3 linked regions of the Macaca mulatta genome follow. The protein of the gene in region 1 interacts with the protein of each later gene in a biochemical or structural test. Links are inferred from orthologs where the notes say so. Each region holds a gene or a part of one and is shown in the gene's direction. Other genes may lie near its edges.

Region 1 (3,647 bases):
CACTTCCCGGGTTCAAGCAATTCTCCTGCTTCGTTCTCCGGAGTAGCTGAGATTACAGGTGCACACCACCATGCCCGGCTAATTTTTTTTTAGTAGAGGTGGGATTCTACCATCTTAGCCAGGCTGGTCTCAAACTCCTGACCTCAGGTGATGTCCCCGCCTCAGCCTCCCAAGATGCTGGGATGACAGGCGTGAGCCCCTGCCCCTGGCCTAGTGGTTAATGTTTTCATAGATTTTTCCAGACTCTTCGGTTTAACGTATGTCCATGTTTTAATGAGGAAATGGGGTTGTGCTGTGTGTGCCCAGTGACTGTCAGTCAGGGGTCTTGGCCTTACTTGTGTCAGGCACGCGTCCCTGCAGGCTCTTGGCCTGGCGAGCTCTGGGGACGGCTGTGCGGCTGCCTTCTGGCGCCTTCTGCCGTCCACTTCGCCTGCGTGGCTGTGTGTGGTGATCCACGGCTCTCCCTCTCCTCCCGTCGCGCTCGTGCCCCAGAGCTGACCCCCACAGCCTCTTCTCTGGGGTGCCTGTGCTCGTGTGAACGGGAAACACGGGCGTGTCCGCACACACAGGCGAGGCTTTCTTGACGGGTTGACACTTAACGGTTCCTGCTTCTCCTGTTACATTGAGGCTCTTCCCGCCTGCTTGTATTTCTCAGAGTGAAATTGCACAGATTTCCTCACAGAGGCCTCACCTATTTTTGTTTTTATTTTGTATAAGCAGAATCTTAAAAACGACCTTTAAAATATTGCACACATAATCCACGTGTCTTCCTCACCCCAGGACCCACCAGCGTCCCGGGCACCTTCCGTCCTGCACTTGCTGGCAGCTGGTGTCGTGGGGTCGTCCTGGGGCAGCGTCCTGGTGCTGGGGGGTCCCGGCTCTGAGCAGCCATGGTGGGCGGGTCCCGTGAGGCCTCCTGGGAAGTGCCCTGCAAGCACCTGCTGGCCCCTGGAGGTCACGGGGGAGCTGGCCCTGGTCATCCCTCTGTGCAGATGTCCTCAGCGGCCCTGGCCTGGCCGTCTCACCTGGCCCATGTGGCTGGCTCCTTGGCCCAGTTCTTCCCGGCCACCTCCCTGAGGCGCCTCCCCGAGATCCCAGCGCAGAAATAAAAGCCATACTATTTTTATCCCTCAAAACTCCCTGCGGGCCAACTCACGTGCCCGTGTGGACTGCCGTGCTCGCTGCTTTGTGCCTGTTTTAAATCTGTGTGTGTGTGGGCCTTGTGGCAGCCCGAGTCCCACTGAGCTGTACCAGGCGGGCTGCCGTGGAGCCCGGCCGGGTCAGGGATGGTCCTTGGTGAATAGCACCGCCAGACGCTCCCCTCTCATGGTTCGTGCTGGCGGTGTACCGGCTGCACCTCCACGGCACAGGTCAGGTCACACCCTGGCCCTCCCGTGCATCTCCCCACGGCCGCCACCCGTGCAGTGCCGTCCTCAGGGCACCCGTCACCCGCCCAGCCCGTCAGAGAGCCCGGGAAGCAAAGCATGGAATCTGCCAGGTCCCACCGCCCAGGGACGTCCCAGAGGCCAGACGTCTGCCCTCCATGCCTTGTGCATCCCCATAGGAAGCGCTGGGCTTGTGGGCCGGGCTTGGGGGTGTCTGTCCGCTCCGGACCTGCACACCCCGGTAGCAGCCAGGCCCAGAGCCGTGCCTGATCGGTGACGGGGGCTCGAGGGCCGGGTTGGAGTGCTGAGGCTGCGGCCTCGTTCCTGTTTTCTGTCAGATGGGGTCAGCGTGCAGCCCGGCCCTGCCATGCCAGCCCCGGACGCCCCGGAAGCCCCTTTGCTGCCAGTCCTGGGGGCACGTTCTTGACGGGTGTCCTGGAGGCAGAGCTGGGGGCAGGCCCTCTTAGGGCCTGGTGTACGCGGTGCCCTCCAGAAAGTCTGAGGTAACGGAGCCTCCCTTCCTGCCAGGGGCCGGGATGGCCAGGCCCCCCTTGGTTTAGAATCCTGGCAAGGCCACGGAGAGGCTCCGGCCGTTTCTGCGTTTCCCGTCTCACCTGTGCTGGTTCCTGGCTCCAGGGATGGTCCTGCCTCCTGTCCGTGGCCCTCCCAGCTGCTTCCTTTGCTCCTGCGCTCCGGAAAGCCTTTCTGCCCCCGAGTGGGGCTGCCTGGGCACTCCCTGTTGCCCGGCATTGTTATTTTCTCCTAGCTCTGATGGGTCCTGTGGGGTGTGCTTCGGGGTGGGGCGGGTGGGTGTGACTGCTGCGCCGTCCGGCCTCCCCGCTGCACCTCCTGCCCTTCCCTAGCCCCTCCGGTGTCGTTTCTCCCCTCTGGGCCTCCTCATGCACAGGGCTGTTTCCTAAGGGGTCACTGCAGCCCTTTTTTATTTTTTATTTTTATTTTTGAGACAGTCTCGCTCTGTCGCCCAGGCTGGAGTGCAGTGGCAGGATCTCAGCTCACTGCAAGCTCCGCCTCCCGGGTTCACGTCATTCTCCTGCCTCAGCCTCCCGAGTAGCTGGGACTACAGACGCCGCCACCGCGCCCGGCTAGTTTTTTGTATTTTTTAGTAGAGACGGGGTTTCACTGTGTTAGCCAGGATGGTCTCGATCTCCTGACCTCGTGATCTGCCTGTCTTGGCCTCCCAAAGTGCTGGGATTACAGGCTTGAGCCACCGCGCCCGGCCAACCCCAGCCGTTTTAAGAGAAACCTGAGCGCTGGGATGAGCGTCGGACCCGGGGGAGGAGAGGGGAGGGGGCAGGGCAGGGGCCGGGTCCAGGCACGGAGGTGGCGCCCTCACCCGCCCTGTCCCCCTAGGAAGCAGGTCCTGGGGACCAAGGTGGACGCGGAGCGTGACGGCGTGAAGGTGCCCACCACGCTGGCCGAGTACTGCGTGAAGACCAAGGCACCCGCGCCCGACGAGGGCTCGGACCTCTTCTACGACGACTACTACGAGGACGGCGAGGGCGGCGAGGAGGCCGACAGCTGCTTCGGGGACGATGAGGACGACTCGGGCACGGAGGAGTCCTGACCCCGCAGAATAAACGCGCAGAGTTTACCTCACTAGGGCCGGACCCGTGGCTCCTTCGACGACAGACTACCTCACGGAGGTTTTGTGCCGGTCCCCGTCTCCTCTGGTGGTTTCGTTCTGGGCTCTTTTCTCCTTTCCCGTATTTGTTCTGGGTTTTCATGTGCTTCAGAGAAGAGGGGCTGCCCCACCGCCGCTCGCGTCACTCGGGGCTCAGTGGACGGCCAGGGTGGGAGAGCCCCGCGCACCTCTCCTCGGGAGGGGAGCTGAGCCCCGACGTCTGCTGGGCCCCCTAGCTTCCGGACTGGCCGTACCCCGGAGGAGCCACGGGGGCTGCTGGGAACGTGGGCGGGGGCCGTTCCTGCCACTGCCAGCCTGGGAGACCCAGGTGTGGGTCCGAGGGGCCCGGGCCCGCCTGTCAGCTCCAGGGCCTGGAGCCACGTCCCAGCACCAGTGGACGGATTCACCGTGGCCGACTCTTCTCTCTGCTTTGGTTTGTTTGAAATCTAAATAAAACTACTTTATGAGAGGCCAGAGAAGCTCTGCTTGGGAGGGAGAGGCAGTCTCCAGGTCCGTCAGTGACTGCACACGGCCAGCCCCACTGGGACCCTGGCTTCGCCGGGCGTGGATCTAGGAGGCCTGTCCTGGGAGGCACGGGGAGCAGCCGGGTCCCGCGGTCT
Region 2 (4,074 bases), on another chromosome or scaffold:
AGGCATCTCCTTAGGCTGTCTGTGCTTCTGCTTTCTTTTCAGTGGAGATGCCTGCTTTCTTGGAAACACATGTGATGGTGGGCTAGCAGTAGAAGCACTACTGTAATAACAATGTGATCTTTGTCATTTCACTTCTTCGGACCTCATTAGTCCTACATATAAAAAGAGGAAGTTAAACTAGCTCAAATGTACTGAGCAGAAGGAATGGAGACTCTGCAGATGAGGAAGCAGGGCCTGAAAAATACGTGTGGGTTGTGTCGCCACACACCGGGACTCCTGGGATCCTGACCTCTTTTAGGGGTCAAAAGAGGGCAAACTAGTTGCCTAACAATATTTAGAGCTATTTCTCTCTTTTCACTCTCATTCTACGAGTGTACACGGGAGTTTCTAGAAATTACATGGTATGTGAAGTTATCCCTCTAATGATAACCTCTAATGAGGTTATTACTGTGATTTTTAATGAATACATTTAAAAATATGTTTTAATTTCTTAAAAAGAAACATTAATCTCTATGTACGTGTGTATACATATACAGGAAATGTATGAATATTCATTATACATGAATGTACATATATTCATTGTATATATGTATATATATTCATACATATGTGTGTGTGTATATATATATTTATACATTTCCTACATAAATAAAAGCTCTTTAAGGGACTAATAATTTTTAAGTGAAAAGGAGTCCTGAGACCAAAAAGTCTGAGAATCACTGAGCCAGATTTCTAGATCTTTAAGATCATTAATTCACTCAAGAAATAATTGTGCCTCTTGTGGCCAGGCATTTTGTAGATACCGAGGACAATGTGGTGATAAGAACATATTCCCTGCTCTGATAGAGTTTTACACTTGGGAGGGAAAAGACAAACAAGTAAATTAACAAGATTATTTCTGAGAGCAGTAGTTTTAATGAAGCCATAAAGCAGGACACACATTCCAGCACAATCTGTGCGCCTGCTCAGACGTAACACCCCGCAGCGCGGCAGGCGGATTCGGCAGCGTAGCCCCGAGAAGCCCCAAGCCCGCTCGGTCGCCCCAGGAGGGCGGGGGCGGGGCCTGCCTGCCCCCCCGCCGCTGGCGTCCGGTGACGTCACTGGGCCGCGCCAGCCAATCGTGGGTGGCCGGGGTCTGGGCACCACGGTGGCCTGCGGCCTGCGGGCGGCGCTGTGGCCCGTCGGGCGGCCCGGCAGAGCCGCCCTAGCCTCCCGCCTACCCCAAGCCAACGTCTCCGCCGTCGGCTCCGCGGCGCCGCCATGGCCGACGTGGAAGACGGAGAGGAAACCTGCGCCCTGGCGTCTCACTCCGGGAGCTCAGGCTCCAAGTCGGGAGGCGACAAGATGTTCTCCCTCAAGAAGTGGAACGCGGTGGCCATGTGGAGCTGGGACGTTGAGTGCGATACGTGCGCCATCTGCAGGGTCCAGGTGATGGGTAAGCGCTGCACGCAAGGCCGGGGCCGCGCTGCGGCCTCCGGGAGCCGACTTCGGGATTGGGACTGGACGGGCGCCCGCCAGAAGCCTTGGAAAGTCCCCTGCCTTGGGGAGTGGGTGGAGGTCGCCCTGCCCGGGCGCCGGAGGAACGCGGAGCCACGATCCTGTTGCGGCTCCTGAGGGCTGAGGGGTTGTGCAACAGGCGCCCGGCGCCGGGTGGTTGGTGTTCTAGGGAGAGAAATGGGCAATAAACGGAGGTAAACAAGGTAATTTCAGGTAGTGATGGGTGTGACCAGGAAAATAAAACCGGGTGATTGTTGGGAACTAGCAGGAAACACTTCGGTTTGTGTGGCCAGCCCCTGTTCTAAAAGCTCATCGCAAGGTGGACAGAGTAAAGGCCGTGATTCAGCAGTGAACTTTAATAGTCTTGGTCACCATCAAAGTGATGCTCCGGAGTCATCTTCCACAAAACGACACCCTTAGTTCTCCTCGAGGTACACAGGAAAGTGTTCACAGCCATTGCATTTCCGGATTAGCTTACCGCCGCTCTTCGAATGGCTTTTAAATCTGGATTGATCTAAGACGGGTCAGATAGCACTAGCGTGGCTTGAAGGGGACAGTGTGATTCAAGAATATCTAAGTTTCATGGAAGCCGAAGAATTGTAAGCCCTTTTTTCAGAAATGTAGAACTTCACCTCCATTACACCCCCCTCTCCATATCGGATGTCATTTCCTGGAGAAGATACTGCCCTGCTCTGAGTCATGCCTTTGTGGAGAACCCTCTTACAAATATGTCCTCTTTCTGTGATATTTGGAGTTAAAATATTAGACCAAGCAAAATGTTTCAGAACAGCTTACTCTTGTTATATTTTATATGGTTCTAAGATCTCAGACCACTTTGAAAAGCAAGTGCTGTTTAAATGCAAGTTGTATTTTCAGATAGGGCATTTAAAATTACTGTGAGAGCATCTTCAGTGGAGTTCTTTATTGAGGGTAGTTAAAGAAAACAGACATTTCTGTAGTTTGAAAACTGACTTGTCTTGAAAAATGAGAGAATTGGAGAACATAAAGAGAATTGCTGTCCTTGAGGGGGGATGAGACTTTAAACCTACCAGAATCAAGAGATTTCTCAATTTATGCTCTTTTGTCTTTTATTCTAAGGGCTTGTTTCAAAGAGGATTTACAACAATTGGATTCAGATATTTTTACCTTTTACTTTTGAAAGACCTTGTTATTAGACATGACCCACTTATTTTATATGGATCACTTGAGCCCAAGAGTTTGAGACCTGCCTAGGCAACATCGCAAGACCCTATCTCTACAATTAAAAATTAAAATAAAGTGACCAGGCATGGTGGCCTCCAGCTACTCAGGAGGCTGAGGTGGGAGGATCCCTTGAGCCCAGGAGGTCGAGGCTACAGTGAGCCTTTTTCCTGCCACTGCCACGATACTCTAGCTTGGGTGACAGAATGAGACCCTGTCTCAAAAACAAACAAACAAAACATATTAGGCTTTAAAAGTATCTAGTTTATTTGCCAGCAGTACAGCTGCCCCTACCCTCACTTAGGAATCATAGTTTCCAGTTTGGGAAGCATTTTTTAACTGATCCAAGAGACTTTTTTTTTTTTTTTTTTTTTTTTTTTGCAATACAAGTTTTGCTAAACATTTTATCTCCTAAATAAATTCCTTTAGTTTAAAGGAAACTAAACTTTCACTTAGTTCCTTTTCAGTTTAAAAATAATGTTCCCAAAGGGTATTTTCAAAAGATTTCTCTCCCAAAAAGCTATTTCCTCCCCGAAGGAAAAACATTTAAGCAGTAAGTGGAAATGTATAACCTGAAATAATGATTGAAACTTTGCAACAAATAAACTTTACTGAGATATTTTAATGTAGGTCAAAGTATAGGCTATAAATGACACATTTCATCATAAACTTTCTAATTATAGCAAGTATTCTGCTACTACAGGATCAGTCTTGCATATTTGCAAACAGCTGTACTTTGGGTTCAGGAAAGTATTCTAGGCTAGACCTTTGTATTTTGTTTATGAGGTGTTAAAACCCACTTAGAGGTCAGGTGACAGCAGAAGGAAACTTTTTTTCCAGACTTCCTAGTCTTTACCCTAGCACCCTTCTAAAAGGTGTTATTGTACTCCTTAGAAATGTGCTGTTTTAGATTCTAGGAAGATCATTAAAGCAAATTTTTATCTTTTATCTGCAACTTTAGGAATTTGTGTAGATTTGGGTCAGTTTTGATAATCTACATTAGAGCTATAAGCGTAATTTAGAGATTCCTAGATTCAGCAACAAGAACCCACTTTGTTCCCTTTCCTTAGTATTTGGAATTTATCTCACACTTGTGATTTATTATACTTTCTGCTCCCAAGATTTGCCCGTCAGCCCATTCTGATATGGATAACACTCTCATCTTCGTTTCCACTATCCTCCCTTCATTCAGAAAAGAGTGATGATTGCATAGTGAGCAAAGTGCTGATGAAAAGCGTTGAATAGGTTTGCTAGTAGAGCCAGTTATAATAGCCAGGGTAACCCTTCATGACTGTATCACCTTAGATATTTCACGTAACTTTTGGGAGCCTTATTTTCCTAATTTGTAAAGAGGCAGTTGGGATCACCAACCTTAAT
Region 3 (3,647 bases), on another chromosome or scaffold:
CAGTTAATGTAGGAAGAGAGTAGCCACATGTTTCTCCATAGTCCCTGAGGAGTCACTGCATTGAATTACTGGGTAGCACAGAGCAGCGGTGATCACCCTTAACCATCAAGAAAGTGTTTGAATTAGATAAGAAAATATGAATGACATAGTGTGTGTTATATAAATGATTAGTTTTTATTTTCTTTTTTTCTCATGCTTAATGGGTAAGTTTCACTTTTCTTAGGAGAAAAACAAAACCCATTGTTTAATGCTGGATGAATGAAATGTTTTTAAATCCTTATTTTTCATTTTTCCTTTGCAGACAATACTGTCAGAGTTCAAGACACAGATTGGAAAGAAGTAGGTATTTTTAAATATTAAGGCTAATGTCCATAACACAGAAATGACTAGTGAATTAATATATTAAGGGTATATTTTCACTTTTATATGATGTAATGAAATCTGTTTTCATTTAATTTACGCTAAATTTCAGTAAATGAAAATGTTTTCAACTTTTACTTTAGACTCAGTCCTTATTTTCTTATAATTATATGGAAAAAATGTTAACACAATGATTATTTTTCATCTTTACTTATTGTAAAACATTCTTTTGTTGCAACAAAATTTAAATGAATTGTCTTTGTGCTGGAGTAGTCATCAGCTGTTCAGCTAGTTAAAATAGTACCTTATGAAAAGAATATATTATACTGTTTCATAAGGTACTATTCTAATGTCTCCATAACAGAAACTGCAAGGTAGAGCAGCAAGTGCTGATGGAGAAGCTGCTGCAAGTTATACAGAAGATGTAGCTAAAATCACTGATGAAGGTGGCTGCATTACACAACAGATTTTCAATGTAGATGAAACAGCTTTCTATTGGAAGAAGACGCCATCTATTTCATAGCTAGAGAGAAGTCAGTGCCCAGCTTCAAAGGACAGGCTGACTTTTTTTTTAGGGACTAATGCAGTTGGTGATTTTTGAAGCCAGTGCTTATTGACCATTCTGAAAATCCTAGGGCCCTTAACAATTATGCTCACTCAGGCCTGGTGCGGTGACTCACGCCTGTAATCCCAGCACTTTGGGAGGCCGAGGCAGGCGGATCACCTGAGGTCAGGAGTTCGAGACTATCTTGGCTAACACGGTGAAACTCTGTCTCTACTAAAAATAAAGAAAATTGCCGGGTGTGGTGGTGCGCATCTGTAATCCCAGCTACTCAGGAGGCTGAGGCAGGAGAATCACTTGAACCGGGGAGGCAGAGGTTGCAGTGAGCCAAGATCGCTCCATTGCACTCCAACCCAGGAGACAGTGCAAGACTCTGTCTCAAAAAAAAAAGAAAAAAGGAATTATGCTAAATCTGTGCCTTTGCTCTGTAAATGGAACAACAAAGCCTGAATGACAGTACGTAGTTTATGGCATGGTTTACTGAATATTTCAAGTCCACTATTGAGGCCTACTGCTTATAAAAAATACTCCTTTTAAAATACTGCTCATGGACAAATGCAGCCAGTCATCCCACATCTCTGACAGTGATGTGCAAGGAGATTAATGTTTTCATGTCAGCAAACACAACTGCATTCTGAAGCTCATAGATCAAGGAGTAATTTTGACTTTGAATCTTATTATTTAAGAAATACATTTTGTAAGGCCATGGTTGCCAGAGACAGTGATTCCTGATGGATCTGGGCAAAGGAAACTGAAAACCTTTTGGAAAGGATTTACCTTTCTAGATGCCATTAAGCATATTCAGGATTCATGGCGGGGAGATGAAATATCAACATTAACAGGAGTTTGGAAGTTGATTCCAATCATCATGGATTACTTTGAGGGGTTCAAGACCTCAGTGGAGGAGTGCAGATGTGATGGACCTAGCAAGAGAGCTAGAATTAGAAGTGGAGCCTAAAGATGGGACTGAATTGCCGCAATCTCACAGTCAAACTTGAATGGATGAGAACTTGCTTCTTATGGATGAAGAGAGAAAGTGGTTTTTTTAAAAAAAAAAAAAAGTCGGCCGGGTGTGGTGGCTCACACCTGTAATCCCAGCATTTTGAGGGGCCGAGGTGGGCGGATCACGAGGTCAGGAGATTGAGACCATCCTGGCTAACACGGTGAAACCCCATCTGACCTAAAAATACAAAAAATTAGCCGGGCGTGGTGGCAGGCGCTTGTAGTCCCAGCTTAACTTGGGAGGCTGAGGCAGGAGAAAGGTGTGAACCTGGGAGGTGGAGCTTGCTTGCAGTGAGCCGAGATCGCACCACTGCACTCCAGCCTGGGCGACAGAGCAGTGAGACTCCATCTCAAAAAAAAAAAAAAAAAGTCAGTTTTTGGGTTACAGGTGGTTTTTGGTTACATGGATAAGTTCTTTAGTGTGGTGATTTCTGAGATTTTAGTGTACCCGCCACCCAAGCAGTGTAAACTGTACCCAAGATGTAGTCTTTTAGCCCTTACCTCCCTCCCAGCCTTTCCCCCTAAGTCCCCAGAGTCCATTACGTCATTCTTATGCCTTTGCATCCTCATAGCTTAGCTCTCACAAGATTTGGTTTTCCATTCTTGAGTTACTTCACTTAAAATAATGGCCTCCAGCTGCAACTAAGTTGCTGCAAAAGACATTATTTCATTCCTTTTTATGGCTGAGTAGTATTCCATGGTATACATATACCACCTTTTCTTTATCAGTGGTTTCTTGGAATGAAATCTATTCCTGGAAAACAAAGGATTTCGAATATTACATAAATTTAGTTGACAAAACAGAAGCAGGGTTTGAGAAGGTTGACTCTGATTTTGAAAGTTTTACTGTGGGTAAAATGCGATCAAACAGCACCGCATGTACAGATAAATCTTTCATGAAAGGAAGAGTCCGTCAATGTGGCAAACTTCACTGTTGTCTTATTTTAAGAAATTGCCACAGCCACTTCAGCCTTTAGCAACCAGCACCCTGACCCGTCAGCAGCAATGAACGTGGAGGCAAGACCCTCTACTAGCAAAAAGATTGCAACTTGCTAAAGACTCAGGTGATTGTTAGCATTTTTTATCAATAAGTATTTTTAAATATTTTTAAGTACATTGTCTTTTTAGATATAATGCCATTGCACACTTAGTATAGTAAACGTAGGATTTATATACACTGGGAAACCAAAAAATTTGTGTGACTTGGTTTATTGCATTGGTTTGGGACTAAATCCACAATATCTCTGAGGTGTACCTATAGATCTTTACTATGAAAGCAAATTAGAACTACAGGGAAACATCCAGATCACTTACCTTATCTTGTTCTTTTATTTTTCTTTTTTCTACAGCTGTACAGGAAGAGGCACATACAAAGAAAAGAATCCCCCAAAGGGCGGTTTGTGATGCTCCTGCCATCGTCAACTCACGGCATTCCATTCTATCCCAACCCCTTGCACCCTAGGCCATTTCCTAGCTCCCGCCTTCCTCCAGGAATTATCGGGGGTGAATATGACCAAAGACCAACACTTCCCTATGTTGGAGACCCAATCAATTCACTCATTCCTGGTCCTGGGGAGACGCCCAGCCAGTTCCCTCCACTCAGACCACGCTTTGATCCAATTGGCCCACTCCCAGGACCTAACCCCATCTTGCCAGGGCGAGGCGGCCCCAATGACAGATTTCCCTTTAGACCCAGTAGGGGTCGGCCAACTGACGGCCGCCT

The links.
Region 2: the proteins of CDC34 (region 1) and RNF7 form a complex in vitro, tested with the Homo sapiens proteins (5 studies listed by BioGRID). The link is inferred for Macaca mulatta from reciprocal best matches to the Homo sapiens genes CDC34 and RNF7.
Region 3: the proteins of CDC34 (region 1) and FBXO7 form a complex in vitro, tested with the Homo sapiens proteins (2 studies listed by BioGRID, with this or other methods). The link is inferred for Macaca mulatta from reciprocal best matches to the Homo sapiens genes CDC34 and FBXO7.

Annotation. Positions count from the first base shown.
Region 1 is NC_133424.1:1,177,294-1,180,940, forward strand, and holds the end of CDC34 (ubiquitin-conjugating enzyme E2 R1), read left to right. Parts: intron 1-2,756; coding exon 2,757-2,970; 3' UTR 2,971-3,499; downstream 3,500-3,647. UniProt on the Homo sapiens protein: E2 ubiquitin-conjugating enzyme that accepts ubiquitin from an E1 ubiquitin-activating protein, and catalyzes its covalent attachment to other proteins by an E3 ubiquitin-protein ligase complex. In vitro catalyzes 'Lys-48'-linked polyubiquitination.
Region 2 is NC_133407.1:44,728,399-44,732,472, forward strand, and holds the start of RNF7 (RING-box protein 2), read left to right. Parts: upstream 1-1,127; 5' UTR 1,128-1,260; coding exon 1,261-1,435; intron 1,436-4,074. UniProt on the Homo sapiens protein: Catalytic component of multiple cullin-5-RING E3 ubiquitin-protein ligase complexes (ECS complexes), which mediate the ubiquitination and subsequent proteasomal degradation of target proteins.
Region 3 is NC_133415.1:19,006,326-19,009,972, reverse strand, and holds part of FBXO7 (F-box only protein 7), read left to right. Parts: intron 1-301; coding exon 302-339; intron 340-3,273; coding exon 3,274-3,647. UniProt on the Homo sapiens protein: Substrate recognition component of a SCF (SKP1-CUL1-F-box protein) E3 ubiquitin-protein ligase complex which mediates the ubiquitination and subsequent proteasomal degradation of target proteins and plays a role in several biological processes such as cell cycle, cell proliferation, or maintenance of chromosome stability.